Mus musculus: one gene and its partners. The protein of the gene in region 3 binds, or shares a complex with, the protein of the main gene of each other region. Links are inferred from orthologs where the notes say so. Each region holds a gene or a part of one and is shown on either strand. Other genes may lie near its edges.

Region 1 (10,640 bases), on a different chromosome or scaffold from region 3:
CTGTGACAAAGCTGTAGACAGAGGTGGCCAGAGCCCCTTAGTGCCTAGCCACAGTGTGATCTGTGAGAAAAGGACTCACTGGAGGCGGGGAAGGAGTCAGACTCCATGAAGGGCAGCGACCTCTTTCTGACAGACTTATTAATAGGGCACCGGGCTGAAAGCAGCTGACGCTTGGCAAGGTTTTGAGAGAAAGTGGAGGAGGGGCCAGAAGTATGGGGAGCCATGTACCTTGTAGGGAAGGAGTGGCCAGCCTGCGAAGGAGCAGACTTGAAATCCTGAGACTGAACAAGGAACCGGACTCCAGGATCAGTGTGCTCCCAGGACCCACTGCAGTTTATTTGTAGGACAAATGGGGAAAGGGGTTATTAATGTTAGTCCAAGGGGAGATCGGGGGGCTCTTCCTCATCAGAGTCAAACTCAACATTTTCATCCTTTATCCATCGACCTCGTCCATCTGGGACCCATCCAGAGCTGCGAGCAGGAGAGAAAGAGAACTGGTCAGGGAGGAGATTTATGAAAGGCTTCCTGTGCTGCGTTGCATCCCAGGAACCTACAGCATAGGAAGGAAGAACCAACCCCTGTAAGCTGCCCTCAGACTTACAGAAGTGTGCCCCTATAAAGATAAATAAGCAAATACAATTTTTTAAAAGGTTACTGGTGATAAGAAAAAAGCAGTTGGATTGGTCTGAAAACAGGCAGGTCCCGGGGAAATAGAAGGAAACCCAAGGACCGCAATCCAGCACTCACTCACCTTCGGAGGGTAAGGTAATGGTTCAGGACTCATCGTTTGGTGGGGCTCATGGGTGCAGAGGCCAAGAGAGCTGCTGACTCTTTGGCATCTGATCTCTCCCTAGGCTCAGGTTCCTTACTGATCTCTGCACTCTGGAGTTGGACCTCTGCAGTTGGCAAAGGAGGACTGGAGACAGAGGGAGCAGGGGCTTCTGGTCTGGGCAGTGAAGAACCAAAGTGTGTAAAACTAAGTACAGGAAAGCAGCAACTTCCCCATGGCCCCCAAGCCAGAAGAGCAGCGCTTGAAACTGATTTCTTTCAGACTTTGGTTTGTTTGATATTTGAGACAGGGTTTCTCTGTGAAGTCCTGGCTGACGGGAACTCACTCCGGTAGGTCAGGCTGGCCTCAAACTCAGAGATCCACCTGCCTCTGCTTTCTAAGTGTTAGAACTAAAGGTATGCATCACCACTGCCTGGCTCCAGTTCCTTAAGATCTTAAATATTCTACATATGAAAGACCTTGGAGGGCTGGTGAGATGGCTCAGTGGGTAAAAGCACCCGACTGCTCTTCCAAAGGTCCGGAGTTCAAATCCCAGCAACCACATGGTGGCTCACAACCATCTGACTCCCTCTTCTAGAGTGTCTGAAGACAGCTACAGTGTACTTACATATAATAAATAAATAAATAAATAAATAAATCTTTAAAAAAAAAAAAAAAAAAGAAAGACCTTGGAATTAGGAACTTGAGAAAAGCTGGGGCTGGAGAGATGGCTCAGTGTTTAAGACCACTGGCTGTTTTTCCAGAGGATCTGGGTTCAATTTCCAGCACCCACATGCCAGCTCACAAATATCTGTAACTCCACCTCTCACACCCTCACGGACATATATGCAGGAAAAACACCAATGCACATAAAATAAAAAATAAAGGAGAAAAAAAGGAATTTGAGGAAAAACTAGCTTAATAGTTTGTAATGGCTATTCCTAGTTGTCAACTATGTCTGGAATGAACTAAATTCCAGAATTGGGGGGCACACCTGTGATCCAGATCTTGAGGCTGGAAGACTCAGGCTTCTGATCTGGATCTTGGCATGGAGATCTTGAGGCACAGTGGCTGTGAAAAGCTTAGGTCCAGGCAAGGTATAACATGCCTTTAATCCCAGGAGGCAAGGAGAACTCTGATTCAAAGTCAGCCTGGGACAAAGCAAGTCCCAGATCCAGGTGTGGTGTACACGCCTTAATGTAGGCCACACCTTCTGCTGGAGGCCTACATAAGACCACTGGAAGAAGGAAGACTCACTCTTCTTCCACTGCTTGCACTTACTTGCCAAGCACATCTTTAGAACCTATTTATACAAGACCAGCTGAAACAACCAGCCTTGTGGGACTGAGCAACTATTAGATTCTTAGACTTCTCATTCACAGCTGCCCATTGTTGTAACCCAACAACATGACTACAAACTGTAAGTCATTACAATAAATTACCTCAATATAGACAGATATTCCATAAGTTTTGTAACTTTCCATATTCCTTATGCTCTAATACATAGTTCTAAGAGTTTTTTGTTTGTTTGTTTGGTTGGTTGGTTGGTTTGGTTTGGTTTTTCGAGACAGGGTTTCTCTGTGTAGTCCTGGCTGTCCTGGAGCTCACTCTGTAGACCAGGCTGGCCTCAAACTCAGAAGTCTGCTTACCTCTGCCTCCCAAGTGCTGGGATTAAAGGCGTCGCCACCACTGCCCGGCTGGTTCTAAGTTTTTGTCTTAAGATTTTCCAAGGCCAGGCATGGAGTGCTCACCTTTAATCCCAACACTTGAGGGATAGAAGCAGGCAGATCTTTGTGAATATGAGGTCACCTTGGTCTAAATAGCAGGGTTTCAGGACAGCCAGGGCTACAAACAAACAAAAAGTACACCACCGTGCTCTACTAATGTTACAATTCTCTCTTTTTGAATGTATTTATTTATTGCACTTTTTAAAATATAGGAGTGCTCTGTCTGCATGTGTACCTACATGCCAGAAGAGATCCCTTTTGGATGGTTGTGAGCCACCATGTGGTTGCTAAGAATTGAACTCAGGACTTCTGGAAGAGCCCCCTGCGTTCCTAACCACTGAGGCATCTCACCAAGCCCTAATGTTCCTAATAAGTATGATTATTCTACAATTTTCCACTTGCTAAAAAATTTATTTTAAAATCATAAACCACCGGGCAGTGGTGGTGCACGCCTTTAATCCCAGCACTTGGGAGGCAGAGGTAAGCAGATTTCTGAGGCTAGCCTGGTCTACAGAGTGAGTTCCAGGACAGCCAGGGCTACACAGAGAAACCCTGTCTCAAAAAACAAACAAACAAAAAACCCAAAAAACAAAAAACCTGAAAAAATGATGGTTTACGATTTCTTTTATATATATGAGTACACTGTAGCTGTCTTCAGACACCCCAGAAGAGGGCGCCAGATCTCATTATGGATGGTTGTGAACCATCATGTGGTTGCTGGGAATTGAACTCAGGACCTCTGGAAGAGCAGTCAGTGCTCTTAACTGCTGAGCCATCTGTCCAGCCCCTACCATCATTTAAAAAAAATATTTCCACAAGATTATTATTTCTCAGAATACAATCTGGAGAGCAATAACTTTAAAGTCATCTATTTCCTTCTACCCTTTTCCACTCCTGGCTTTCCCATTCCACGGACCTGTGCTTCCTCCGGCAGCAACTGTTATAGTGGGGAGCTCTGTGTAGAGCATTCTGGGTGATGATTCGAGTCTGGGTTAGCAAAGGAGCCTGGTGATGAAGAGACAGAGTTAGAGCTGTTAGGAGCAAACGTTCCCTCAAGCCTGTTGTGTGAAGTATAGCCCTGTCTAAACCACACCTGATGCCCTCTCACCTCAGTTTTGCTTTCTGTCTTCAATTCGTTCTGCTGTCTTGGATTTTGCTCTGTTCCCTTGCCTGTTTGCTTTTTGCCATAGAAAAGCTTCAGACCTGAGAACAAAAGCAAGGAGGAATGAAAAGCACAATGCCTGGTGGCTTGCTCTCCATCTCCCGCCCTCCCCACTTCTCTGATACTTACTGGACAAATGCTTCTTGCCTGCACGGTGGGCTGTCAACATGGCCAGCGTGTCTAGTACTGGTCGATGGGGGCAGATGGCACAAGCAAAGCTAGGGAAACGAGAAGTGAATGATGTGTGTGGTGTGTGGTGTGTATGTTGTGTGTTCGAGAGCCTGCAGTCGGGGTGTTCTTGCTATGGTGAGTAGGTCCTACTTCTGTCAGAGTACTCCACCACCAACTCCCAGGTTTCCCGATCTCCACCCCTTACACTTCACTTCCAGCCAAAGAGTCCTATTATACTCCTGAACTCCTTAGTGACAAAAGTTTGTTGAGCCTTTGATCCCCGAATCCCCAGGCTTGATCCACTCTTCGCTCTCACCGTCCATCCCGCAGCATCAGTGCCTCGTCCTCAGGGATGTAACTAGCCAGCAGGTCCCCAACTCTCCGTTTCTGCAGGGAGCAGGATAGGAGAAATGAGTAAGAGGGACGGATGGAAATGAAATAGTATGGATAAGGAGTCAAATGGCACACGGGGCTATGCAGATCATAGGGTAGTAGGGGTCACCACTCAGTTCTGGTCCCCTAAGCCCTCCCCTAGATGTCGCCAGAGCAACAAAACAAAACAACAGGGCGGCTGAAGGTGATCAGACTCTCACTAAGGCTTACTTTGAGCACATTGAGTTGACTCCAGTCGTCCCCTTCCCTCTTAAAAGACATAGCGACTGTGAGACTACGATAAATTCCCCTACGCCTACTTCGCTGCTCCTTTAGGCCACCGTAGAAAGAGTACACTATCGCCTTCTCTGCTTCCGGTTTCTTTCTTGTTGAATCTGTACTTCCGGGGATGATGTTCCACGCTTGCGTCGCGCGAACCGGAAGACCCGCCTCCAGCGCCCTGAGGGGGCCTGCATTTCCTACAATACTTTGAGACGCTGTGCCTTTTGGGAAATGAAGTCTTTTGGTTATTTATTTTATTTTTTTATTTTTTTGAAGAGCACACTGCTCACCTGGACACAGGACCTCACATCTCGAAGGATCCAGGTGTTCGGAGACTCAAGATCCTGTATGTGGAGCCGGAATTTCAGGGTGGGACCTTCCTGATGTGGAGCGAGGCGTCAGGGATCTCAGTGGACTATATACTACAAACTCTTGCTGTCCTCAGGCTCGTACTCCTCAGCCACAACCTACCTGGGGTGGGCCTTATTTGGAACAGAGAGGATGTGGGAGCACCCGGCATCCCGACTGTTGGATGTGGGGATACACTGAGGGAAGAGTGTTGATGAGGGTGTCTAGGGTTCAAAGGTCAGAGATCAGGCTTGCGAGGAGTTGGGGAGGGGGCGTCGAAAGTCAACCGGGTCAGCGACTGACAGCTCAGGGAAGATACTTATGGGTAAGGAGCTCGTGGAAAGAGAAATGTAACCGGCCTGGCAGACTTCTTAAGAGACGGACAGTAACTCCAGGCACGGCAAGAAGCAGCAAGAGGAGGACGACGAATGTAGTCTCTCGAGAGTCGGGAGACTGTAGAGAGACGAGAGAAGAGAAAACGAATTATCTGAATATCCATTCCTTGGGTTCGGCCGTCACTGTTACTTAGCTGGGCTTCCCTCAGTTGTGACCCTAGGTCTTGACAGTGAGGAGATGGCTTCTCCCTCTAGACAGCCTCCCCTCGGGGGGTCAGGGCTGCTGCATGGGAGCCGTGCTCGTTCTTATGGAAGCCTGGTACAATCATCCTGCTCCCCAGTGAGGGAAAGACGCCTGGAGCATCAATTGGAGCCTGGAGACACCCTGGCTGGATTAGCACTCAAATACGGGGTAACGGTGAGTCTTCCAGAATTGAGATAGTCCCGAGAAAGTGGGTGGCCCGCTAAGATGCCCCCTCTCACATTATTTAAATTCTATTATGGTCTGTTTTTTTTCTTCCTTATTTTGCTTTCACATCTCAGCAGAGCACTGTTGGGACAGATCTGCCCAACTATCCCAGTGGGAGGAGCAACTCCTGTAGATGGTGAGGGAGGTGGGTGAGTGGGGGCGGGGCTTACAGCCATTAACTGGACTTGTGTCCCTATCAACTTAAGACTGATAAACCAGTTTGATCAAGGTCGAATCACTTAAGTGTCAGAGTAAGGTTTCTGTCTGACTCTAAAGCCGGTACTATTAGCCATGCGGGGGTGGGGTAGGGGTGGGGGTGGGGATGTAGAGACTGGTAAGGAAGAGCTGACTTTTACTAGCACTCTGAAGGTGCCCATTTGTAGTTCTTATTTCCACCCCAAGGCTCTGTTTTCTTTGTGCAGAGGCACAAAACAAGTCCCCTCTACATACTTCAAGTGTTTCAGGTCATCTTTAGGAGAGGTTTGATGGGCATAAAAAATATCTTGCATTAAAGTTGCAGCCTTCCTGTCTATATCCTGTTTTACCACATACAAACAAATGTTGGGTTTAGATAAATTCCTGTGCCACTCTACTTAAAGCATAAGGTAAGCCTTTCTGGAGACACAGCATACGTTTGTCGATGTGCTCATGGAATTTAAATTCTCATGAGGAGCAGAGAAGAAACAAGAAATGCTGTAAGGAATATCCACAAGGGGTCGGAGATCCAGAACTATTGAGTCTTGCTCGGAAGTGGGAGTGGATAGTATTTGATGTGGGGTTTTGTGTGTGTGTGTGTGTGGGGGGTGGATTTTCTAGACAGTGTGGCCTGGAACTTCCGGTGTTCTTGCATCATGACTGCTGAGATTAGGAGTGTGACAACCACACTCTGAGGTGCAGGCTTAGGAGTACCGTCACCACGGGCCTTGAAGACCTAGAAACTTTCCCCTCTGTTCCCACCTACAAATCTGTTCAACCCAGTTGTTTGTATCCTTGTCTTCCAGCAGCCCACAAGCTTTTTAAGAGCTGAAATCAGTTCCTTTCAACATTGTGCCTCTAAACCCTGGCATAGTCTCAGTCATGTGGGAGTTTAAAAGATGATTGAAAGCTGCCAGGCATGGCAGTGTACCCCTTTAATCCGAGCACTTGGGAAGCAGAGGCAGACGGATTTCTGAGTTGGAGGCCAGCCTGGTCTATAGAGTGAGTTTCAGGACAGCCAGGTCTAAAAAAAAGTCTGAAAGCCAGACTTGGTGGTCCATGCCAAACTTCTGATGTTAGCCCTCAGGAGCCTAAGTCAAAGGGATGCAGAGTTCTAGGCCAGCTCCACATATAACAAAACCAGGGTACTGGAGTTGAAAGTGTAATTCAGTGGTAGAATGCAGAAGAGAGACAAGGCTAGACACTTCCTGTGGGGGCTAAATATACACAGTCCTTGAATCCTTTTTGAATCCTCATTCAATGAAGAGCCATAGGAAGTTGCTATGCCAGCAAGAGGGTTAATAGCTTTTTCTAGATATCAAGAGAAAGATGTGGGCATGAAAGAGGAAGAACAGTCACGTGTGGCCGTGGTGGGCGCAAGTATGAGAGAACACATGTGAGGTGTTTATTTACTTAATATCTGAGGTCTGCCAGGGGTCCAGTCTAGGACTGCACACACTAGGCAAGCTCTTTACCATGGAGCTACAACTCTAGACACCAAGACTTATTTACTTATTTTATTATTAGTCAAGGTCTCAATATGTAGTTTAGTTGGCTTCACACTCATAGACCTGCCTGCCTCTGCTTTCCAAGTGCTGGGATTAGAGAATTGCACTATTAGCTTGGAGTGGTAGCACATGCCTTTAATCCTAGCACAGGGTGGGTTGGTGGGGGAATAGGCAGGTGGATCTCTGAATTTGAGGTGAACCTGGTCTATAGAGTGAGTTCAAGGACATATAGGGCTACACATGCATGTATGGCCATTTGCTATGGGGTGCCTGGTGCCTATAGAGGTCAGAAGATCACCTGGATCTGAAGTTACAGACTGCAGTTGTCTTCAGACACACCAGAAGGGGACATTGGATCTCATTACAGATGGTTGTGAGCCACCATGTGGTTGCTGGGAATTGAACTCAGGATCTCTGAAAGAACAGTCAGTGCTCTTAATGTCTGAGCCATCTCTCCAGCCTCACCTCAATAATTTTTAAAAATGTGAAGGTATCCTAAGACTAAAAAGTATGAAAATTATAAAACAAGATTAATATCAGCTCTTTATATTTTAGCTAGTTTTTTATGGTGTCAAATAATGTTGTACGATTACTTAAAAACTTTGAATTGGTGGCCTAGGAAGATGGCTCATTTGGTAACTCAGTTAATAAAAGTGCTTGCCACACACACATAGTAAACCCTATAGCAGCCTCCAGGCTCTACCCCCAAGTACACTGTTTTCAACCACACACACCAATAAGTTTGGAATACTAAGCCAGAAATGTTTGAGAACATCTGCTCTACTTAGTGAAAAGGAAGAAAAAGAGCTTGCTATGTTTTATGAGGTTGGTGGATTTTACTGTCAGACATTAATTTCGTTGCTTTTGTTTGAAGATGGAACAGATTAAGCGTACAAACCGCCTTTATACTAACGACTCCATCTTCCTGAAGAAAACGCTCTACATCCCCATCCTATCAGAGCCCAGAGACTTGTTTAATGGTTTGGATTCTGAGGAGGAAAATGATGGAGAGGAAGAGGTGCGCCCGAGTAAGGATGAGATCGGATCATCTTCGGGGAGGAGGAAGAATCGAGGGTCAGGGTCGGGTCGGCCCAATGGCACAGGCCTCCCGCCTCACCAGGAAACCTCCACCCCCAGCCATGACCTTTCTGCCTCTGATTTCCTTAAGAAGCTTGACTCACAGATCAGCCTGTCAAAGAAGGCTGCTGCCCAGAAGCTGAGGAAAGGGGAGAGTGGGTGAGTCTCTGGCCGCTCCTTCTAGCTCCCTGCAGAGACCCTCTTCTTTTAGCTGGTCACAAACTAAGAAGTAACCAAAGTACCCGAGGACAGGCAAGTGGATGCCTTTCTCCCCATGTGGTCCCCAAATCATGAAAGAGCCAGTGGCATCTGGAATGGGGTAGTGGGTGGGAAGCAGGGTCTGTGGGGTCTTACGCCAGTGGTAGCGCGTGGGAGGCAGGGTCTGTGGGGTCTTACGCCAGTGTGCTGGGATGAAGCCTTAGGAGCAAGTTCTTCAGAGGGTCGCAAGACTCCATCCAACTTGTGAAACAAAGGGAGGCAGCCTCCCCTCCCCCACCTCCCCACTCACCGCTCCATTCTCAGGTCCTTGCCTTGATTTGTTGCTCTTTCTCCCTTCCCTCATCGGCAGGGTACCTGAGGAGGACACGGGTCTCTACCCTAGCTCCCCTCGGATGCAGCAGCGAGCAGTCCTAGGCCCTGTGCCACTCACCCGGACGTCTCGGACCCAGACACTGCGGGACCAGGAAGATGAAATCTTCAAACTCTGATGTCCCCAGAACTGATGAGCAAGGCAGGATGTTGAAGGACCAGCCCGAGGGGGAGAGGAGTCTGAGGTGAGGCTGAAGAACAGAGCTTCCCAGCCTGCCTCACTCCTCTCCAGCCATCTTTGCCAAGATTTCTTCAGCTGGGGACACTTAGTGGCAAGCGTAGCGAGTGGGAGCAGACCTCTTCCCAGTTCTTGGGCTGAATCTAGAGTTAGCCTTTAGATTCAAAGGCTCTTCTATGCCCTCGCTGTCCCGTTGAGCATTCCCTGGCCTTAGAGCAGGGAAGCAGAGACCCCTCCCCATCTCCAATGATCTTACCTAATTTATTTGGTGCTATATTGAAGTAATATTTATTTGCTATATCTAACTCCTTTCTCCTCTTAACTGGGAAAAGAGGGGGGAATTTCCATATCACTGAAGATAGGGAAACCCAGAACTGTAAGTGGAGGCGGCTGGCTGCTCGCCTGTCCCACTTTCCTAGCGAAGCTTGTTGCTGAGGCCTGGGAGTTGGTGATGCTCACCATAGAATGGCAGACTGCGCTGAGTTTTCCCCACTCCCAAGGTAAAGGGTGGGACTCAGTTGTAACTAAGAACTCCCTACAACCTTTCCCACGCCTTGGCTCTGAGAGAAGGCAGCGTGGTGGATACTGACTAAGCATCCTTCTTCCAGCTCCTCTCCTCTCCCCAGCGCGTGGTGGGGCTAAGGAATGGAAGATGCTTTGGGGTTCAAGGAGAACAGTTACAGAAGTGTCTTTGTTACGCACCCTAGCCTACCTTTGCCTTGCCCCCACTTCATATGTATCTGTAATCTGTATCTGATCTGCAGTACAATTTGTCTTTTGTTCCTTAAGTGATGAAATAGGCATGGCGGCACAGTAGTCCTGGGAGTCTGTCTCCGGTTCAGGAGTGGGAATAAGTGTTGTTTCTAGACCTCTCCTCTATGTTTAGCCTGAGTATGGAGCTCGAGAGATTAAACCGTGAGCCCTGTGCATGCTTTAGTGGTTTTATTTCCCCTGTGCCTCCCTTCCCCCAGCTCCTTCTAGAAGCTCTGGAACACAGCGTCTGTATGTGTCCTAGTGCTGCCTCCAACTCTAGATCCAGGAGGTCTCTAATGACCACCTTCCTGCGTGTGGCCTTTAGTGTCCCCTTCCTCGGGTTTGTGGAGGAGGAGGATCCCCTGGTTCTGGGCAGCCCTCCCGGGAGAAGCGGACCTGAGTTTCACTTCTTCTTCAGTCAGCTGTTTCCTTTACTGGAACTGGATGGGAGCGAGAGCCGCCTCACTCAGTTCAGCCTTGCTTTGCCCCAGCAGTAGTTTGGGGGTGGGGGTGGCCTCAGTGTCTATAGCACTCTTGGGAGAGAGTGAAGCCAGGGGATCGAGAAGCATTGGTGCAGGGTTAGAGAGCCCGATGTGTCATTTCCCAGTCAGTCATTTTGCCAAAGTCCAGTGTGCTGAGCTCCGGAGCTTCAGAGCTTGCCCTCGTCCAGCAGCTTCCGGAGCCCATCACAGATCTTGCCAAGGTG
Region 2 (10,640 bases), on a different chromosome or scaffold from region 3:
TGACTAGCAGTTACCCTGTTGGGTACATGCGGGGGGTGGGGACACAGAAATGTCATATGGCTCGCACGGACTCAAAAGATTGGAGAGACTTGCACTTCCACGTTTACTGTGGCACTTTTCACAAGTTAGCCTAAATGTCCCTTAACACGAATGGAATAAAAGAGCATGGAATACACGCCAAATCCTGTTCATCTGTAAACATCAGATCATCACACTGACAAGGAAATTGGTAAGATGGGCAATCTCGATCCCAAGCAAACTACAGGAGACTCAGACAAGTTCCATCAAGGAAACCTAAAGGGAGGTGGGCCACTTAGGGGAAGGAAGGGATCCAGGCAGATGGGGTTAGGAGACAGAGGAAAGGGAGGGGGCTGATCAGACTACAGTATAATGACGTATGTATGGAAATGCCACAGTGAGTGTATTACTTTGAATACTAACTTAAGGGCTGTGTGTGAAAATCCCAAGGAAGGAGGTATTTATTAAGACTTGGGTATGTAGCTCAGCTGGTAGTGTTTGCCTAACATGCTCAGAAACCTGTGTTCACTCCTCAGAACTACACACAACCAGACATGATAATGTATGCTGGCAATCCTAATACTTGGGAGGTAGAGGCCGAAGATACGTACAGTGTTCAAGGTACATCCATCTAAATACTGAATTAAAGTCCAGACTGAACTACATGAGACCCTGTTCCAAAAACAAAATAAAACAAACTAGGAGCCCATCAGTCATATTGATACATGGCTACAGTCCCAGCAGACTGAGGCAAGATCATGAATCTGAGGTCAGTCTGGATTACCCAGCGAGTCAGCACCTAAAGAGAAAAAATATAAGAGCCAGTGGCTGGGTGGAAAACTGGCTAAAAGGAAGAGCTACCACTCAACCATGAAGATCCTTAAGAATCACAGCATCCATCAAGAGCAGCTGGTAACTCCAGCTCCAGGGGATCTGATGCCCTCTTCTGATTCTATGGACACTAGTAGATTGTTTCAGAGACATACATACATACACAGATACGTGCATACACAGAAACTAAGATGGCTTGCTGGGCAAAGGCAATTGGGTATTAGCAACAACCTGAGCTGGCCACCTAGATTCCATGGCTCAAGGAGAGAATCTACTCATCAAAGTTGTCTTCCGACCTACACAGATGGCCACGACACCCGTATACATAGTGTATGTGCATATACAGACAGACAGACAAACACCCACACACCAATTGGTTTCCACATGGAGAACTGATTCTTGAAAGCTGTTCCAACCTCAGTATTTCTGCTATGTCGTCAGCAAGCACATCCTCATCAGAGACCCAGAAGAAGAAAGCTAGATAGTGATGGCTCACAACGGCAGCACTCAGGAGGCAGAGGCAAGTGATGCTGTGAGTTCAAGGCCAACCTGGTCCAGAGAGTTCTAGGATGGCCAGAAACGTACAACGCTGTCTCAGAAAACAAACAAAAAAAACTAACAAAACAAACAACCCCCCAACAACAAAACAAAAACCCAGACAACAAAAAACAAGGTTTTTTGTTTTGTTTTTTTAAGGGGTGGAAGCACATGTTTATGCATGCCTGACATTGTCTGTCTTCCTCACATACTCCCATCTTACACTTTAGGGAAGTCTATCACTAAACCCACAGTTTGCAGATGGTGTTTCCAGGTTCCATTTCTACCTCCTAAGGACTGGTATTACAGGCAGACCACAAGGCACCCAACTGTCATTAGGTTCTGGGGTGCTAACTCCAGTCCTCATGCTTGAAAATGTTTACCCACTGAGACATTCCGCAGGCCAAACAAATTAGCATTATCATTTGGGAAGGAACCTAAATCTTTACAGATGAGAACAAGTAAGTCTTTTCAGTATGCTACTATTTTACCTAACGACTAATTTACCAGGTGTTTGTGGTCTTTCCCAAACTAAGATTCCCAAGAGCTTCCTATTAGTTTTTTACATTTATCTGACTTGTACTTTAAAGGTATCTCACTCTACCCTCCCTCCTAGTCCGCTCTTGAGCCACTCTTGCTATCTAGCCTGGACAGACCTTGTCCTTCACTCCACCCTCTTCAATCTCCTGCTGGGTTACAGGCACAGGACACCATACCTGCTTTCCACATTCTCATCTTAGTGATAAGATTCTCAATTCTTCAGTGTCTCAGTAATTGCTAAGCAAACAGAACTACAAGCATGTTTGCAACCTCCTGCACTTACAAGTGCTGGTGTCGCAGTACTCAGAAGTCAGCGGTGGGTTTTTGTTCTGTAACACTGGGGATCTAACAGGGCCTCACGTGTGACAGACAAGCACTTAGAACTGATGAGTACATCACTAGTAAAAAACAAAACTTGTTTATTTTCAATTACCCCCTCCCCCCCAGCCTTTTCCACCAACCTTAGCAGCTTACCTGTGCAGGCAGAATTCTTAATCTGCCTCAAGAACGTACAGATCCATGCTCCGAGAAAAGCAAATGTCAAGGGGGACTGGAAGCCCTCAGAAACCTTAAATACCGACCCTAGGTAAAAGCATTTTGCCACCAGAATGAAACAATGTAAAATTTTAACAAAAACTTCCTACAGCATTTATTGTCACCTAATAATAATGTGCAAGTAAAACAAGTTGAGTAAATGCAGGTTGCAGCAGACATCTTTAAACACGCTCAAGGGGTCTTCTCAACATCCTACAGACTTCACCATTCACTGCTAGTTGGAAACACTTTGGAGCAGAGTAATATTATCTCCTTTTAGCATGATCCGACCTGTAACAACAAAAAAAGTGTTACAAAAGCTGTGACTAATCAGAGAGAGACATTTACTTATCTTTCAGCCTCAGAGTTTGGCTCTGAATAGTACTGAGGCACTTCTCTCTCTCATAACGCTATGTGAACATTTTCAATCGTCCATATTGAAGGCTTCCACCAGGTCTACTGGGCTTTCAGTAACAGAACGAAACAGCGCTGTTTTAATGAAACATAGTTCCTATAGTCTAGGTCAAGTGAAAAGGCCCAATACAGCATCTCCCAATACTAAGTTCATGAGGGTTTAGAAATGAGTGTTTGTCAAGTATACATTTCAATTCCATCTGCAGTAGCCTGAGTTCTTGCTGCGTGAGACAGTGCACACCTGCAGTCCCAGTACTGGAAGGCTAAGGTAAGATCGGACAGCCTGGGTTATAGAGGTAGAGCACCTCAAAAGCAAATAAAAACAGAGTCATTTCTTAGAATCTACCTTCCACCTATCTAGCTTTGGTCAGTAGGGTTTGGGAAAGAGATACCTGAACTCCATCACTAATAAACGCACGTGAGCACTGACTATTCTAACAAAAGATAACCTAACCTCAGTAAAGTATCTCTTAATGAGACCATGGGTCCTCTTGTTCCCTGGGCTTTCTGAGTTTATGTGAAGCACTACGGTGGTCATTGGAAGCAGAGAGGACATGACTCATGCACTCAGGGAGCATGCAGTCTAACAAAGAGGCAACGATAAAATAAATGATTCACTACAGAGTCAACATATCACATCTTGTGTTCTCCCATCCCAGAAAAACTAAATTAAATTTGGGTTTCCTAGAGAAAGTTTGATCAGTGAACAATACACGTAGCAATATTTGATGGAGTCAAGTGTAATAACCATGGCGTGATAATTGTGTTAACACTGCCATTTAGAAAATGAAGCAAGGATCTCAGAGTTAAGGCCAGCCTGGGCTAAACAGGAAGATCCTACCTCAAACAGAAAGTGAGGCCAATGTGCAGGCTTAAGGAATTGAAAGAAGAGCTGGGCAATGGGGGCACACAGCTTTAATCCCAGCACTCCAGGAAGCAGTGAGCTCTGTGAGTTTGAGGCCAGCCTGGTCTACAGAGAGTTCCAGGACAGCCAAGACTACAGAGAAACCCCCAAACCAACCAACCAGCCCCCCTCCCCCCAAAAAACAAAAATCCAGCCCAAAACCCTCCAAAACAAAAAACAAACTGAAAGGAGACAAGCATGGAGACTGCTCAGAAAATGGGACAGTGTGAATCAAGATGAGCGAACATCAGGCCAGATAAGAAGGCTCTTGCCAAAACATCACACTGTCCCCTCAGGAAAAACAGACAATGGAAAATTTCAAGCAAAAGCTGGTAAGGTCAGACCCAGTGTTTCAAAAAGATGGCTACATCTGGAGAGCAACTTCAAATGGATGAGGGAGCTACAAAAGTTAGTAAGTTAGTGGAAACTACTGTTCCGTTAGGAAGTGATCAGCAAACCCACGCTGAACAGTGTAAGCAGGCAGTGAAGTTGGCTTCTGACAGGCTGCCTTAAAAACCTTCTATGTGGAAAGTTAAACAGGTTCAGAAGAGGTTTGGGCTATACACATAAATAAGGAAGTCAATGCCCAGATTAGTACCTGGAGCTGTGATCTCACTGAACACTAGAAGCCTAGAACAGAGCCTCTCAACCTTCCTAGCGCTGCAGCCCCTTAATAACAGTTCCTCAAGTTGTGCGGACCCTCAACAATAAAATTGTTTTTATTGCTAATTTATAACTGTAATTCTGCTACTATTATGAATCATATTGTAAATGTCTGTGTTTTCTGATGGTCTTAGGAGACCACTGTGAAATATCGTTCAACTCTCAAAAGGGTCATAACCTACAGAATGAGAACTGCTGGCCTAGGGAAAGACTGTGAAGGGCGAGCTGGAACCCAGCCTCAAATACTTAATGGCCGGGTAAAAAAGGATGAATATAAAGAAGTCTGGAAAAAAAAAAAAAAACAGCCAGAGTTGAATAAAAACTGACATACTATGTCACAAACCCAAGATATCAAAGTATTGCAAGGAAGTATTGAACTGTGTCAAATTCTACTTAATGTTAAATATAAGTGAACACAAAAAACGACATCAGATTTAACATCCTTGGCAAGGCATGGTTGCGAATGTCTATGATCCCAGCACTTGGGAGGGGGAGGCAGGAAGGCCAGGAGTTCAATCTGTCACTCTCAGCAAGACTGAGAGTAGCCTGGGCTACCTGAGACCCTATCAATGAACAAAACAAAGGAGTGGGTAACAGAGTAAGTGGCAGGAAGATGAATTCAGAAGTGTGCTTCTCCCTTCAAATGTAACTTTATAGCATGAATTTTCAGCTATAGGCCATTCAAGTCTGCCAGTGAAATAAACAGAAATCTGTAAAGCCAACTATCTCCTTACCCAGTTGTTTTCTTGACTTTGTTTTAGAATGAATCTCTTCTGCATCATCTAATACGAGGTTCATGTACTCATCAAAGCCCTGGGAAGGCAAATGACAATCATTTTTAAGCAAATCACATCCGACCATTCTAAAAGAATAATTAGATTCAGAAATATCAACAAATTTTAGAATTTTATGCTATCACTGATTTTTCAACACAAACACCTACAGCCTCTACTTACTTATTAACTACTTTGTATTCTTTTAAAGTGTTACCTGTATGTATTTATTTTTGGATCGATGCGTGCACATTAGGACAGGTGCTTAAGGAGGGCAGAGGCACTAGATCCACCTGCCAGAAGTACAGGCAGTTGTGATCCATCAAAGGTATATACTTTGAACTGAACTTGGTCCTCTGCAAGAATAGTAAATACTTTTACCTGTTGAGCCCCTTACTTCTGAGACAGCGTCTTATGTGGCCTATGTTTGCCCTAAACTTCCCACACAGCCAAGGAAAGCCTTAAACTCACAAATCTCCTATCCTCTCTATTCCAAGTGTTGAGACTACAGGTATGTGCCACCATGCCTGGTCATATGTGACATGCCCAATGCGTGGGGGCATTTTCATTCCTTTTTGGGGGCAGAGATGGTGTTGAGGATTAGCGCACCGACTTCTACCCATTAGGCAAGAGGTTTACTACTGAGCTGCATCCCCAGCCTACCTCTTTTTAAATAGCAAAGAAAGCTAGAATGAGATCCAAAGTACTTCAATCCCTTAGAGGTAAATATTCGCCAGGAATGCCTGCTGGACACTACCCAATTCGGCATGTGCACACATGAATTGCCTTCTGTCACTGCACACCCATGTTCCTCACTAACACGACTCCCACTAACTACTGTGCTTGTTTACCAACTCCTAAGAGAGTATTGATAGACACTCTTGATATCTACATAAAATAACAAAATACTGTGCAGCTTTGGGAGGAAGGGTAGGTACTAGGGAGACATGTCAATTGGTAAAGTACATGCAGTCATGAGTTTGGATCCCTACTCAAACAATGCAGTGCACAGTGGCCTGCAGCCGCACCTAGTGCTGGCCAACTAGTCTTGTTAAATCCATGAGTTCCAGGCTCAAAAAGCAGAGAGCAATAAAAGATACCTCTAGCACATACATCCACACATATGAGTATGTACAAAGCAACCCCACTCACTCCCTTGATGCAAAAAAGAAAAAAAAAAAGTGAGGCTGAGCACGTCTGTAAATCTCAGGAGGCTGAGGCAGGATGGGAAGTTCAAGGCCTTTACTGGGCTACATAGCAATTTCTTGCCTCAAAATAACAATGCCAGAGCTGGACAGTTCAGTAGTTAAGAAGACTGGCTTTTCTTCCAGAGGACCCAGATTCAATTCCCAGCACCCACATGGCATCTCACAACTGTTGATAACTCCAGTCCCAGGGGATCTGGTGCCCTCACACAAATAACAGTAGGCAGAACACCATTGCACATAAAAATAAATAAATCTTTAAAAAAATTTTTTTTCCATTTTCATGGCTATTAATCTAAACATTGAAGAGGCTCAGACAAGAGGATTTCCATGTGTAAGTCTCTCTTAAAAGACTCTGCCTCACACAAAGGAAAAACAGAGACGGGAGAGGTGGTGGAGTTACAAATCCTTCCTTGCTGCTCTTGCAAAGGACCCAGGTTTGGTTCCCAGCACCTACATGGAAGCTCACAATCACCCATCTTCAGGTGAGCCAACAACTTCTGGCCTGTTTGGGCATTAAACACACACAGGCAAAACACTCAGACAAATAAATCTAAAATAACAACAAAAACTTATTGCCATGGTAGCTGTGTGGTAGAGCAGGTACTTTGATCCCCAACACCATCACGATAGAAGCCTAACAAACCATAAGTCTCACCCCCACCAGCTCTATTCTGGCATGATCTAATCCAGAATGCAAGTCCTTTATCACTCCCCGCCCCCCTCTCATTTTGTTTTTGTTCCCTCTCCTCACAAACGAAGCTCTTCTTAAAAGTCTTAACTCTCCCTTCCTTTTTTTTTTTTTTTTTGGTTTTTCAAGACAGGGTTTCTCTGTGTAGCTCTGGCTGTCCTGGAACTCACTCTGTAGACCAGCCTGGCCTCAAACTCAGAAATCCGCCTGCCTCTGCCTCCCGAGTGCTGGGACTAAAGGCGTGCGCCACCACCGCCTAACCTCTCCCTTCCCTTCCTCTTAAGAGAAGTATTATCTAACCCTATTAACCAGAGCAAGGAGAAAAGGCTAAATAAATAACTCCAGCTCTGAAGAGCTTTCTTTGGGTTGGGTCCTTGACGCCTTGTATATTGTTCTTACTGGCCATCTTCTGAGATGTCTTTTTTAATAACAACTTGAGGAAAAATAGCCTGGGTACTCACAATAATACAACCTTCTATCCGCATATTCACTTGTTCATACAGCCACACCTGAATTCGAGATCTCTGAAATAAAAATAATGACTTTAGAAATGTAAACAAATCCCACTCCATTACTTTGTTTCCACAATAAACGACTTATCTTAAAAATTCCAATAAATATAAGCCAAAAACTAGAACTAGTTAGTCTTCATCTAAGAGCTAGCAACACTGGTTAACCTGCTGAGAAACATTTAATAAGTGCTCGGGCAGGCCTGTCCAAACTAATTTTCCTACTCTGAAAATTTATTTTTGCTTCTGGCATGAATACACTTACAGTTAGAACTGTTCACAGGATAGTACAAAGCGAATCTGGCGATTAAAAATTACAATGGCTTAAAACGATTTTTCATCTGTGTTGTAACACTCTAAAATAAACATCGCTAAAATCTCCTCAAAGAAGAGCATTTGCCACTCGCTTCTCTGTATATAACGCCCCCACTCCCCCAAACCCCGCTTTGGTGTCTTTTCTCCATTCTAAGTCCAACTATGGAAAAAGCACTATGCAACTGTCACTGCTAAATCCGATGACAAATCGTTCTTACAGAGTAATTTTAATAGTAAATATAATTACATTGTTCTTACAGAATAATGGTAACTGTGTGCATCCTTAAGTCAGCACGGACATATTAATAATTAGCGCTTTCCCTGTGACCTTATCCTCAACTCTGGTTCTCCCCCCCCCCCAATTTTTTAGTCTAAGCACTAGAAACAGAGAATTTGTTACAAAGAGTCAAACAGGCCCAACTTTCATTTCAGTAACAGTAAGGAAACAACTTACGTACATTTTGCAAGTATCTGAAGATAAGGTTCTGCAGCACGGCGATCAAGGAAAAGAACTACACAAACAGCGGAGCCTCCGCTCCCAACCGCGCCGGACTCTCCAGCGCCCCAAGGTCCGGCCGGGCTACATCCGCAAGCACAAACGACCGCCGGGAGCATGCGCTCCCTCCCCACCGCCCTCGTTTCTCCAACCTTCCCGATGGCCCACATCCTCCTCTCCTCCTCGGTATCCCCCGCTTTCATCGCGGATCGCCAGCCTGGCCGGGTCCACCCGGAGCCCGCCTTCCGCCTCCCGCCTCCCGCCGCCCTTCAACTCCGCGCGCTTTCCTGCCTCCCCGTTCGCCCCAGGGCCTCACGGGAAGCGGCCCGCAGCGGGCTGCCCGGCTCCCCGCCCACGCTCACGGCGCCTACGGCCCCCAAAGCCCCGAGTTCACGCAGCGTAGGATACGATGGGCTGCACCATCACCTTCTGCACCTTTTGGCCCTGGCCGCGGTACGCCATGGTGGAAGTCACAAAGACCACACGAGTAGGAAGGCCGCCTCGGAAAGCGACTTCCGGAAGCAAGACCCGGAAACGGAAGTGCAGTGGTCGTCGGCGACGCGGGCCGGTCCTGGGGAACGCCTCTCTAGGCCAGGAGCCGCTTTTTCTCTATGCTGATAGACTCCGCCGGCGGCCTTCCGACTCAACCGCTCTTTGAAGTCGAGGTCGGTCCTACAGCGCCACCTGGAGGTAGGCTGAGAGGCTTGCCTCTGCCTAGGTGCTCTTCTGAGAGCTGCTCTGGAATTTAGAGGCGGCATCTTGTCCAGAACCATCTGCAGACTCCCCTTATTTGTTTTGGGCCCCAGAGCTAGTCTAGATGGTCATGCCCGAAGCAGTGGTGGAGTTGTGGCTTGTTCAATAACAGATTCAACCCTCATCACCTTTATGCAGAGTTAACTGTTGCAGTGGCAACTGAAGATGGCAATCTAACTAGCTTGGAGGTATTGAAATCGGCTTGTTGGACTCAGATCTCTCTCAGTTGTGTGACCGGTGATAATTAAGTCATTAGGCCTCAGCATCTCCGTCCCGCAAGGGGACAGGAGGTGAAGATTCAGGGAGGTAGTAGTGCACAGGTGCTCCTAGAACACATCTGTAATCTCAGCTTGTGGAAGGCGCAAGGTGAGTATGACCTTAAGCTAAGTAGTACGTTCCAGATCTAAGCTACATGAGGCCTTGTTTCAAAACAAAACAACCTACATGGTATACAACCTGATAAACTTAAGGTAAGTTAGAAATGTAAGTTAAAAAAAAATGCATTTAATGCAGATACCTTGGGCCCAGGGGAGATGATTCGGTAGGTGGGACATGAGGTCTGTCAACCAGCACCTACACAAAATTACATGCCTGTAATTCCAGAGACAGGAAGGAGGGTGCCTGGGCTGGATGGCCAACTAGTCTAACTTAATCGCCAAGTCCTAGGTTCAATGAGAGACCCTGTCTCAGAAGGTAGGGTGAAGAGTGACTCAGAAGGACACTTGATGACATCCTTTGGCCTCCACATGCACACAGAAAATTGTTGAAAATGTATATGCCTAGTCTACTCAATGCCATCGCTTAGCAACACAACATAGCAGCCTTTCTTGAAGCTGCAGCTGCCCCCCACCTCACCAGAAAGTACCTAGAGCTGCTTACCAGGGAAATGATCAAAATTTAAAATGCAAAGTCTGATTTTTTTTTTTTTACAGAATTCATATTGCTTTCACACCATCTTTAGGATGAAGAATTGTAAGTCAGGAGCTATCTGGATGTGTGTGTGTGTGTGTGTGTGTGTGTGTGTGTGTGTGTGTGTGTTAAAGCCTCGTCCCCCACCCCACAACACAAGTAGCAAGAAAAGGGACTGATTAACCTGATTAACCATGCCTATGTTAGTTAGTAACCATGCCTATGTTAGTTAGTAACCATGCCTATGTTAGTAGTAGGCAAGCCTACTCAGTTTTCTGTTAGGACAGGGCTTGTGGCCTGGTTCAAAGTCTATCTAATATTTTAAAATATTTAATATTTAACATTTATTTAAATATTCTCTTTCTAACAAGGAAGCTGAGCCTTGAAAGGATTTTGGATGGCATCTAAGGGGACTGGCTGGCACTTTAGGAGATACCACTTAGGTCAAATAACAGAATCTAAATTTGCTTACCTAAGGTCTTCTTCAGATGAGAATAACACGAGCGCCAATCTATAAAAGTATTACGATGAAAGCTTTTTTTTTTTTT
Region 3 (10,540 bases):
GAGAAAAGCCAGTATTTACTTCTGAAACAGGGCCTGAGTTTTTAAACTCTAAAGATGACTCAAAGCTATTCTCCCTTGGGGGAGAATGAGATAGTTCTTTATGCTCTGGAGAAACTTGTGGCCCACTCCAACATGAAGCCACTGCAGGGGTTTCTGCTGCTTTTGAAGGCTGTGACTGGCTTTGGTCAAGAGCAGACAATACAGCAGGCCTTTCTTCTACTTCAGGAGATGACTCAATGTTACTTCCAGGCATTTCTTTATGTTCTGGAGATAAACTGGGTAGAACTTGGCTTAAAGGTTGCTCAGACTTTTCTACTTCCATTAGTTCATCTTGACTTGAATTAGGTAATAAACTTTTTTGGTCTCTTTTGCCTGGAGGTGAGCCAGCTCCACTTCTTTCTTTTAATAGTACTCTAGGTGTGACTTTCAGTACTGTGGAAGACTCAGGCCTATCCTGTGTAGGACTAAATTTGTCTCTTGGTATACAAGATGATGCAACATCCTCTTGAATTAAACCCAGTCTCTCTTTTAATTCAGAAGGCTCCAATCTGCTCTGCACCAGAAAAGATTTAGAGTCTACTAAAGGATATATGCTAGAGTCAGGTTTAGTCTTACTCTGCTCAGGAGACATTCCTGACTTCAGCTTTGGATCTGTTGATATTTCACTTTTATCTTGTTTTACTGGTGATCTGGCTGTCAGCTCAGTGACTGGAGATGAAGATCTGGAAAGGCTACCCTTAGGAGATGTTTGGGATTTGCTCTGCAGCAATGGAGATTCCACTTGAGTCTGCATGACTTCTGGACTTGAAGTATCTGGCCAAGTTTGAGTGTGTCCTTTTTGTTGCACAAATGAGGCGCTAAAACAGCTCTCTCCTGGTACTATACTACTAGGTGTTACACCTGGACAGAGGTGAAAAGATCCAGAGCTTCCTGTTGGTGAATCCCTAGACTTCTGGGGACAGGGTGACTTTGATCCAGAAAGATTTTGATCTGGTGGAGTCTGGAGCATGCTTTTTAGATATGGAGATGTAGATCCTGAGTGTCTCAGTGGTGTTCCCAGTTCCATCTTGGAATCTGGTGAGGAGGATCTAGAACGGCTATGTCTTAATCTAGAGTCTACCTTGGGGCAAGGAGATATTGATCTGCTTTTCCTCTGAGGTGTCCTAGATGTCACTCTACTAGGACTTGGAGAAGAGGAGCTAGAATGGCTTCTTCCTCTTGGTGATATCACTGTCTTCACTTTGGGTTGTGGAGATGACGACCTAGATGGGCTCTGTCTTGGAGGTGTGCTAGATTTCACTCGAGGAGAAGACCCAGAGCAGCTTTGTCTTGATGGGGTCCTTGATTTCACCTCACCATCAGGTGATGATTCAGAATGGCTCTGTCTCTGTGGTGTTGCAGTGCATTCATCAGCCTGCATGTTTGTTACAGACCCTGGTCTTGGTGGTGTTCCAGATTTTACTTTAGGCTGAGGAGAATTTGAACGACTCTGTCTTGGTGGTGTTTTTGACTTTTGTTTAGGTGGTGAAGAACCAGAACGACTTCGCCTGGTTGGTGTCTGTGACTTTTGTTTAGGACATGGAGAGGAACCTGAAAGGCTTCGCCTCAAAGATTTTGCTTTGGATCGTGGTGAAGAAAGAGACCTGCTCCGTCTTGAGGAAACGTGAGATTTTTTCATTTCTGGGCTTGAGTTGGATCTGCTTCTCCTCTGAGATGTTCTAGATTTGTTCTTCCTCTCTGAGGATGAGCCAGATCGTCCTCTTCTTTGTGGTGTTCTAGAGTGAGATCTTCCACGTCTCACAAGACTTCTACTTCGAGATCGTCGTCGTGCTGGTGTTCTGGATCGTGACCTCCCTCTCCTGGCTGGCGTTCTAGACCGAGATCGAGCGCTTCTTCTGGCTGGCGTTCTAGACCGGGACCTCCCTCTCCTGGCTGGTGTTCTAGATCTTGACCTGCCACTTCTCCTGGCTGGTGTTCTGGACCTAGACCTACCACTTCTCCTAGCTTGGGATCTACTCCGAGACCTCCTTCGAACTGGTGATCGTGTCCTAGACCTGCGGCGAGCGGGTGTTCTTGATCTGGACCTGCCCCTGCGAGCTGGTGTTCTAGACCGAGACCTACGCCTGGCAGGTGTTCTGGATCGTGATCTTCGCCTGGCAGGTGTTCTGGACCGAGACCTACCCCTTCTAGCTGGTGTTCTAGATCGGGATCTGCCCCTAGTAGCTGGAGATCTAGAATGTGATCTGCCTCGCCTTGCTGACCTAGACCTGCCTCTTCTCTGGGTATTTCTGCTCCTGGACCAACCTGGCCTCTGAGGAGACCTTGAACGGCCACGCCTCTGGGGACTTCTAGATTTTCCCCACCTCTGTGCAGATCTTGACCTTCTCCACTGAGGGGACCGGGACCTGGAGTGACCTCTCTTGGTGGGGGTTCTAGATCGAGACCGTCCCCTCTTAGTGGCAGGACTACGAGACCTCCCTGCTCTATGAGATGGGGTATGAGAATGAGATTTATCCCGCTTTGCTCTGCCATGCGAGCGATTCTTAGATGTGGGTGAAGAAGAAATCTCTCGACGGGACCCAGGAGCTGGTGTGGGTTTAAGACTTTCAGGAGAAGAGCTGGCATGCCGAGAACCTTTGGTAGGTTGAGGGGATGGTGGGCAACTTTCTGAGGAAGTAGACTGGGGAGGTTTCTCAGGAGACTTAGGTGGTGAACAGCCCCGGGTTGGGGAAGCCTCAGATGAGGGGTTAACTGGCTCCTGACTGGACGGGATTGCTGCAAGGGGTCGTGGGGAGTCGACATGTTGCTCAACAAGGAGCGGAGTAGGGGCAGGTAGTTCTGGCCCTGTGCTGCTCCTTTCCGGAGAGGGGCTAGGTCGAACTGCAGATTTCTAAGAGTGAAAAGAGAAGTAGGAATAGTAAAAAAAACACCAAAACCTCATTATCCTATAAGATACGAAGAGTTTCTAATAAAATTTTACACTATATACTTCTTATACCAATTGACCCTTTCCCTACCCATAGTTATACTCAGTAACAAGACAATATGCAATGCTTAGTTGGGAGCCAGTAAGATAGCTTAATGGGCCCATGAGGTGGCAAAGAGAAAACCTACTCTTCAAAATTGTTCTATGAACTGCACATGTGCATGTATCACATGCACACACACAAAATAAATGCATTTTTAACAATGAGAAAATAAAGTAGCAAGGGAAAAACCTGACCATATAAACAATCTCTAACCTCAAGTAGTAATTCAGAGAAACAAGAAAATGTAAACAATGCATTACCAACAAAATACCACCTGCCCTGTGGTACACCTTATAGACAGACAGCCCTGTCTCCATTTTGCATACTGGGGTTACACATAGACTATCACTAGCAACCAATTACTCACCTACTAAGTCATTTTCCTTTTTTTTTATCTTACCTCTTAATTTTTTTTTTGCTTTGTACATTGTTCTCTTAAACTTACTCAATATCTTTTGATGAGTGTTTTAAACTCATCAAGCAAGTCATCTCTATTGAATGTTTTTTTCTTTTCAAGGGAAAGTGTCTGACGTTGTGTATGGGTTGCAAATGAACACTACAACACCACCCAAAAAAGGTATAATTAAACAAAAAGAGAAAGTTTGGGTGACAATAACTTTCACCTGAATATGGACTGACTTAAAATATCACAAATGGGCACAAGGTTTTAAAGTGTATAATGTGTTAAATTTTATCAAGAGGGGCCTGGCATGGCCATATATGCCTTTAATCCCAGTACTTCAGAGACAGAGGCAGGTGGAGCTCTGTGAGTTTAAGATTAGCCTGAACTATGTATTAAGTTGCATGACAGCCAGGGCCTTATGTAAGGAGACCCTGTCTCAAAAACAAACATACTGACCAACAGTCAATGAGATGGCACTTGCAACATAAGCCTGGTAACCAGAGTTCAATCCACAGAACACATATATAGGTAGTTTTGTCCTTTGACCTCCAAACACATGTAACACATTTGCCTCCCCCTCATACATACACACAAAAATTAATTCACCATGGTCTTACAGGAACAGGCCAAACCATAAAAACAGCTTAATTACAGAAAACACCACAAACACCATAGCAAGCAGCAAAGTTTTCTTGTAACTTATCTTTAAAATGAGACACAATACGGGAAATATTAAGTTACATTAATTACTGAAACCAGTAGAAACAATCAGCCACAGAACTAGAATAGAGAATATAAAACAGGAACTACTAAAAAGATAATTCTTTCATGCTTTCAGATTGGTGGCATCAAATCAAAGGATTGAAAAATGTAAGAACTCATGACAAGCATACAATAAAAAGGATATAGATACTTTAAGTAGTAAAGTTAAAGGTAATTTTTAGAAAACTTTTTGTTGGGGGGTGGGTATGGGGGACCTTTGGGATAGCACTGAAAATGTAAACGAGGAAAATACCTAATTTAAAAAAAAAGAAATCAAAAAAAAAAAAAAAGAAAACTTTTTGTTGGGCAGAAGCAAGATGACAAAAGAAAACATCATCCTTGGTCATAATTCGATGTACATGTGCCACTTCTATGGCACTAAGGCACTTAACCACCACCTTCAGAAGTTGACCTGTGGCAAATGTGGCTATTGTGGCAAGAGCAAGAGTATTATTGGAGTCCCAAGACTAAAAGAGACAAAGCACTACTGCGTCTGGGTGGATGAGGAGCCTAAAATTGTTTATCCCACATTCAGACATGGATTCCTTGAAGGAACAACATCTCAACCCAAGAGGGCAGTTTTAGCTGCTGTAGCATCCAGTTCACCTTTAGGATTTCAATCAGTCATAAAATAAATGTTCTGGTTTCAAAAAAATAAACCATTTTGTTCTCTGTATGGATATAAACAAATTACTGATATAAAACTTACTAATATCCAATGAAGTTTCATTCTGAAGACTTCACAATTTAGTGGGTCATAACTCTAAAATACTTGTAGGTGTGTAAAAGGACTTGGAAACTGAATGAGGAATGTAGGGCTAGGAACTCAAGTATTTCTCAGTAGTTGTTTATAGATGGCATTATGCACCACTAAACTTGTCCATGTTGCTGAGTTCCAACTGAAGAGAACTCTTTCTCTCATTCTGTATCTTCTTTGAATACTGTCTAAAAATCTTCATATTTGCTTACACTATTGGTTTCTCTGAAACTACCACCCAATCCACTCACATACACCCCCACACATGTAACTGCTTTCTATAGCTGCTTGTCAACCTTGATCTCTGAACCTGACCATAATCTAAAGGACAAGATTTTTGTCTAATAAACTACATTATGTACCACACTTGCCCATTTAAGGCACATCCCTGAGTAAATAAATCCCTGCAACCCAATGAACACTACCAACTCAGAACATACCTCTTTCTTATCTTTGTCTTCATAAGGACTGCTAGATTGCTTTGTAGAGGGAGCTGGGCTACTAGGTTGTTGTATGTTGGTGGCACCTGGTTCAACAGAAGGTGCATCTCCCTCCCCTTGATGCCCTGAAGCAAGGGGAGGACTTTGCCCAGTCAAGGCTGTTGTATGAATTTTAGCAGCAGCACTTCGAGACCTGTGAGTTAATGGAGGGCAGGGGAGACCAGGAAAATCAGCTCAAAGAAGAATAGAAAACCCCCTCCACCCCCAGTTAGCAATCCACTTTCCTGTATGTACAACCTTTTTTTTCCAAAAAAAAAGAACCAAACCAAAAAAAAAAAAACCAACAAAACAATAAACAAACGTTCTTAGTCACATGACTCAATTCATTTTCAAAAATGAAAATACAAGTCCTTTTTTGTTGTTCTCTCTCTTCCCAATATAATCCCAAATAATAAAAGTCCCTCTACCCCATTATTCACCACCCTCCAATATACCCAAACCTTCCACCCAGGCCCTTCCCTACCCACTTCATTCACAACTCACCTCTGAGCCCACCTCCTTCAGGAAGCCTTCCCCGATTAAGGAAGCCAGGGTAAGGACTCCTTTCTCCCTCAGACACCACCAAACCAGCAAACCACCCCCGCCCTATTCTGGCAGTCCATATACATCGTAACAAACAAAAAATAAAAATAAAATAAAATAAAAAAAGACAAGGGGAAATGTATATGTCTGTCCATCCTGTTGCTTTAGCCTGTCAGCTCCTAGAGGGCAGGGACCGTGTCTTCGGAATGGTCTGTGCAGCGCCTAGCACACCGTGGGCGCTCAATAAATATTAAATTGATTAACCCATCATTCCCTCTCCCTCCATTCCTCATGGACCACCCCTTACCGACTACGAGAAGTATCAGAGGAAGAAGCAGAGTCCGCAGAAGTTGACCGATGAGCTCGACGGCTCTTAGGAGCTGGTGTTGTACTTCGAGACCTGAAGGAAAACCACCACAAAGCTCAGGAGACTGTCATACCTAGCATGAGTTCTCCCAACTAATTTCTTTTTAAAAACAAAATTGGCTTTGGCATCGTGGGCCCTGCCTTTAATCTCAGGACTTGGGAGGCAGTCATGTCAATCTCTATAAGGTGAAGCCAGCTTCATCTAGAGCGTGGACTCTATAATTGAACTACATAAAAAGACCCTCTGTCAAAAAATATTAAAAAAATTTTTAAAATTACATTTAGTTTATTAAGTATGTAAAAGGAAGTCAGAAGACAAGTTATAGGAGTTCACTCTCCCCTTCCAATACGTTAAGTTCCAGTGATAAAACTCTGGTCTTTAGGTTTGATAAAAAGGGCCTTCACTTCCTGAACCAGAGGTAGACCAGGCTGGCCTCTACCTCCTCCCTCTCTCTCCCTCTCTCCCTCTCTCCCTCTCTCTCTCTCTCTCTCTCTCTCTCTCTCTCTCTCTCTCTCTCTCTCTCTCTGGCACAATTATTTTTAATCCTTCCCCAAGGGAAGCATTTTTCTACTTCCCCCAAACACACTTACCGTTTCCTCTTCTTGTCCTTTGATTTGCGTTTGCTCTTTGGAGTAGGAGACCTAGAAAAGAAGGAAATGTTTAAAAAGTAATTTTAAAATAGTAATAAAATCTGAATCTGAAGTGAAATGAAAGTAACAACCCAAGCAAGTATTATTGATAACAAGTAGGTTAAAGATTTGTGCTCTACTAAAAACAAAGGGGGAGGGGGAGATGGACACATCTTACAGACCAAATATAGAGTAAAACAAAGTCATCAAACAGTAACTCACCACTCCCATATACCACTATGTCTCCCCTAAGAACAAAAAGCTTTCTTACCTGTGTTTCCGTTTCTTGGACTCAGATTCTGACCTGTTTGTGAAAAATACAGAAAATCATTATTAACCCACACCTACCCTTCAATTTAAGAGCTACCTCCAATCACCCCCAAGAACTTCCACCTTAGCCAGAGGTGGTGGCTGTATTTCTTTAATCAGCAGAGGTAGAGGTAATAGATCTCTGCCAAATCAGAGGCCAGCCTGGTCTATATTTTGATTTCTAGGACAGCCAAGGCTATGCAAATACCCTGTTGTTTTTAAAAACCAAAACAACAAAAAGAACTTTTTATCTCATACCTGTGCTTCTTCTTCTTTGAACTCTTCTTCCTCTCTCGTCGAGGAGAACTGCTCTCTGACCTGCTAAAATGGGTTCAGAAGCAAGTCATTCTACTTGGCTTTCTTTCTGGCTATAATTCTCAAAAATGCTTCAAAAGCACCAGAAAAATCCAACACCATCAACAGCCACACTTAATTCACTTTTACATTCAATCAGTAAGCATAAAATTCAAATCCAAAATACTGCTTCCTTTTTTGGCTGGGCTACATAATCAATGATTTCCCACTAAGTATACACATTTCCTCTCAGCTGAAACCTAAAAAGTAATTCTGTTCCCTCAACTGTCACTGCAATTTGATTCTCTGCTACCTAAAAGCAAACTCAACTTCTAAAAGTCCAACAACAGGCAGTAACCCCTGGATACTAGTGTAACTCTCCAACCAACTTACCGTCCTCTATCTTTCTTCTTTTTCTTCTTCTTTTGCTTTGGAGTTGGTGAGCGAGAACTGCTGGTCTCTCGAACAAGGCTGAAAAAGGCAAAGAGATTCTAGATACCAAGCAAGACATATTTCTTTAAAACATTTCACCTTAGGGGCTGGAGAGATGGCTCCAGAGGTCCTGAGTTCAATTACCAGCACCCACTCACAATAATGGAATCTGATGCCCTCTTCTGATGCCCTCTTCTGGCATTCAAAATCTATATGCATACAAAGCACTCATATACATTTAAAAAAAAAATCACTCTAATGAATAAATATACTACCCCAATAAATAAATGGAGCAGTTCACTGATAACTTTCACCTTAGGACAACTGCTACACACCAATTTTTTTTGTGCTTGAAAACTTCAGAATTAAAGGATTTAAATTTGCTAGGCAGCGGTGGTACACGCCTTTTATCCCAGTACTAGGAGGACAGAGACAGGTGGATCTCCTAAGTTTAAGGCCAGCCAGGTTCTACAGAGTGAGTTCTAGGACAGCCAGGGCTACAGAGAAAAATCCGGGGGGGGGGGGGGGCGGCTCGGATGTAAATCCTGGGTGTGTGCATCTGTGTGTGTGTTTTATGTTTTAAGGTAGGTCTCACTATATATCCCTGACTGTCCTAGAACTACCTACTGCAGAGCAAGGTGGCCTCAACTCACAGAGATCCACTTGCCTCTGCCCTCAAAATATTGAGATTAAAGTCATGTGTCACCCAGTTTTATTGTTTGTTTTGAGACAAGGTCTTACTATGTAACCCTGGCTATACTGGAACGCAGAGATCTGCCTACATCTGCCTGGAGTACTAGGATCAAAGGCATGTACCACAACACCCAGCTTAAATAATTTTTTAGAAAAGTGAAAATAAGCCAGGCGTACGCCTTTAATCCCAGCACTCGGGAGGCAGAGGCAGGTGGATTTCTGAGTTCCAGGCCAGCCTGGTCTACAGAGTGAGTTCCAGGCCAGCCAGGGCTATATACAGAAAAACCCTGTCTCGAAAAACAAACAAAACAAAAAAGTAAAAATAGGAACTGATAAGCAGTTAAGAGCATAGGCTGCTTTTTGTAGCTAGGGGTCTATTCTCAGCACTAAGGGATGCTGAACCATCTGTTACTCTAGCACCAAGGGAATCCAATGCCCTCTTCTGGCCTCCAGGGGCACCAGGGCATTTTATAAAAGGATACATATAAACAAAAACTCATACATTTTTCTTTTTTAAAATTGACTCCAAAATAACAAAATCTAAGAGTTTGGCAATAAGCCATGGGTCATGGCAAATAAATGCCATTAATCTCAACAGTTAGGAGGCAGAGGCAGATAGATCTCTAATTTAAAGGCCAGCCTGTTCTACATAGTTCTAGGAACAGCTAGAGCTACATAATGATACTGTCTCAAAAAACAAAACAAATAAAAATAAAGTTTGGAAATAGTCTTCTAGTAATAAATATAATAGAATATGTTTAATCCAGGAAGGGATTCAGGCCTTTCTCCTGAGTACCTGTATGGTTTGGGAGGCTCAGGAGCTATTTGTTTAGCTTCTCGAGCACGTCTCTGAGGATCAAAAGAACTGCCATCCACATAGGAGTCACTGATGCCAAAGGCAGCACGGAGTCGTTCATTCTTCTTCTCATTCAGTTCTGCCAACTGATGGGTCTCAGTTACCCTGAAAAGAGCAAAAATCAGAGCCCTAATTTAGAACTTAGTTATAAGGAGGAATTAAACAGTTAGGCTAGGGACTAAGGAAGATGAAGGCAAAACTGAATCCTACCCAGGTAAAGAGAAAAGGCAGCAGTAGCTGTAACTTCATAGATCCCAAAAAAGGAAAAAAGAGAACAACACTCACACTGGTCTCTGCCCTGGGGTTTCTTCCTTGGCCCCAGGGTTCACATCCTTTTCCAGCAACATGAGTCGAAAGGTCGCCACTTTTTCCTGAATTTGCTGTTCTTCGTACCTGAAGGATAAATCCCTTCAAGGTTAAGAGCATGACAGGAGTTTTCCCAAGTCCCAATTTTTAGATGCTTCCTCTTCCAACAGGGTCCTTTTTCCTTCTCCATGCACACAATATTTTGTACTCACTGTCACTCAAATTGTTCCTAAGTTTTCCTCATCTTTCTCCACGACACTCCTTCCTTCTCTACACTATGCTCTCTAGAACAGTGGATTTTAAACATGCTACACAATTCAGGTGCCAAGAGAGGAGGGCTTGCTGGTGGAGTTCCCAGTGCTCCTTCCCAACTTCAATAAGAAAAGATCTTTTATTTCCTGGGACTTCAAGGAAGACAAAATGTATAAAAGGATACCACTGCTCAAAGTTTGAAAACCACTGCTCTAAACAGTTTTCTGCCTGAATGTGCTCCTTTTCCAAAATATCACTTCTCTGACAACTCATGATATCCTCTATTCAAATTCTCTTTCAATCCGATCTTCTGCCTTTGCCACTTCCACAGCCACAATCCTTCAATCCACCTACCTTTCTCCTCCTACCAATAACAACACCTATCAGGTTACCTGGCTCTTCTACCTTATGCTCCTTTCCCACACAGCA

Evidence for each region.
Region 1: Srrm2 (region 3) and Scnm1 share a complex: the UniProt entries of both Homo sapiens proteins name them as parts of the minor spliceosome. The link is inferred for Mus musculus from reciprocal best matches to the Homo sapiens genes SRRM2 and SCNM1.
Region 2: Srrm2 (region 3) and Snrpe share a complex: the UniProt entries of both Homo sapiens proteins name them as parts of the minor spliceosome. The link is inferred for Mus musculus from reciprocal best matches to the Homo sapiens genes SRRM2 and SNRPE.

Annotation. Positions count from the first base shown.
Region 1 is NC_000069.6:95,129,413-95,140,052, forward strand, and holds Scnm1 (sodium channel modifier 1), read right to left. Parts: upstream 4,601-10,640; 5' UTR 4,484-4,600; coding exon 4,433-4,483; intron 4,217-4,432; coding exon 4,146-4,216; intron 3,877-4,145; coding exon 3,788-3,876; intron 3,700-3,787; coding exon 3,605-3,699; intron 3,502-3,604; coding exon 3,413-3,501; intron 2,615-3,412; coding exon of another isoform or gene 2,575-2,614; exon of another isoform or gene 2,394-2,574; intron 947-2,393; coding exon 781-946; 3' UTR 752-780; intron 472-751; coding exon of another isoform or gene 372-471; 3' UTR 307-371; downstream 1-306. Other genes in the region: Lysmd1 (lysM and putative peptidoglycan-binding domain-containing protein 1), read left to right, coding at 5,405-5,584, 8,213-8,574, 8,984-9,122; Tnfaip8l2 (tumor necrosis factor alpha-induced protein 8-like protein 2), read right to left, coding at 10,584-10,640. UniProt on the Homo sapiens protein: As a component of the minor spliceosome, involved in the splicing of U12-type introns in pre-mRNAs. Plays a role in the regulation of primary cilia length and Hedgehog signaling.
Region 2 is NC_000067.6:133,601,326-133,611,965, forward strand, and holds Snrpe (small nuclear ribonucleoprotein E), read right to left. Parts: upstream 8,956-10,640; 5' UTR 8,893-8,955; coding exon 8,839-8,892; intron 8,420-8,838; coding exon 8,393-8,419; intron 7,635-8,392; coding exon 7,572-7,634; intron 5,255-7,571; coding exon 5,176-5,254; intron 2,752-5,175; coding exon 2,696-2,751; 3' UTR 2,546-2,695; downstream 1-2,545. UniProt on the Homo sapiens protein: Plays a role in pre-mRNA splicing as a core component of the spliceosomal U1, U2, U4 and U5 small nuclear ribonucleoproteins (snRNPs), the building blocks of the spliceosome.
Region 3 is NC_000083.6:23,807,472-23,818,011, reverse strand, and holds part of Srrm2 (serine/arginine repetitive matrix protein 2), read right to left. Parts: intron 9,947-10,540; coding exon 9,839-9,946; intron 9,659-9,838; coding exon 9,494-9,658; intron 8,044-9,493; coding exon 7,966-8,043; intron 7,600-7,965; coding exon 7,537-7,599; intron 7,274-7,536; coding exon 7,241-7,273; intron 6,982-7,240; coding exon 6,931-6,981; intron 6,374-6,930; coding exon 6,281-6,373; intron 6,196-6,280; coding exon of another isoform or gene 6,153-6,195; exon of another isoform or gene 5,585-6,152; coding exon 5,392-5,584; intron 2,891-5,391; coding exon 1-2,890. UniProt on the Homo sapiens protein: Required for pre-mRNA splicing as component of the spliceosome. As a component of the minor spliceosome, involved in the splicing of U12-type introns in pre-mRNAs.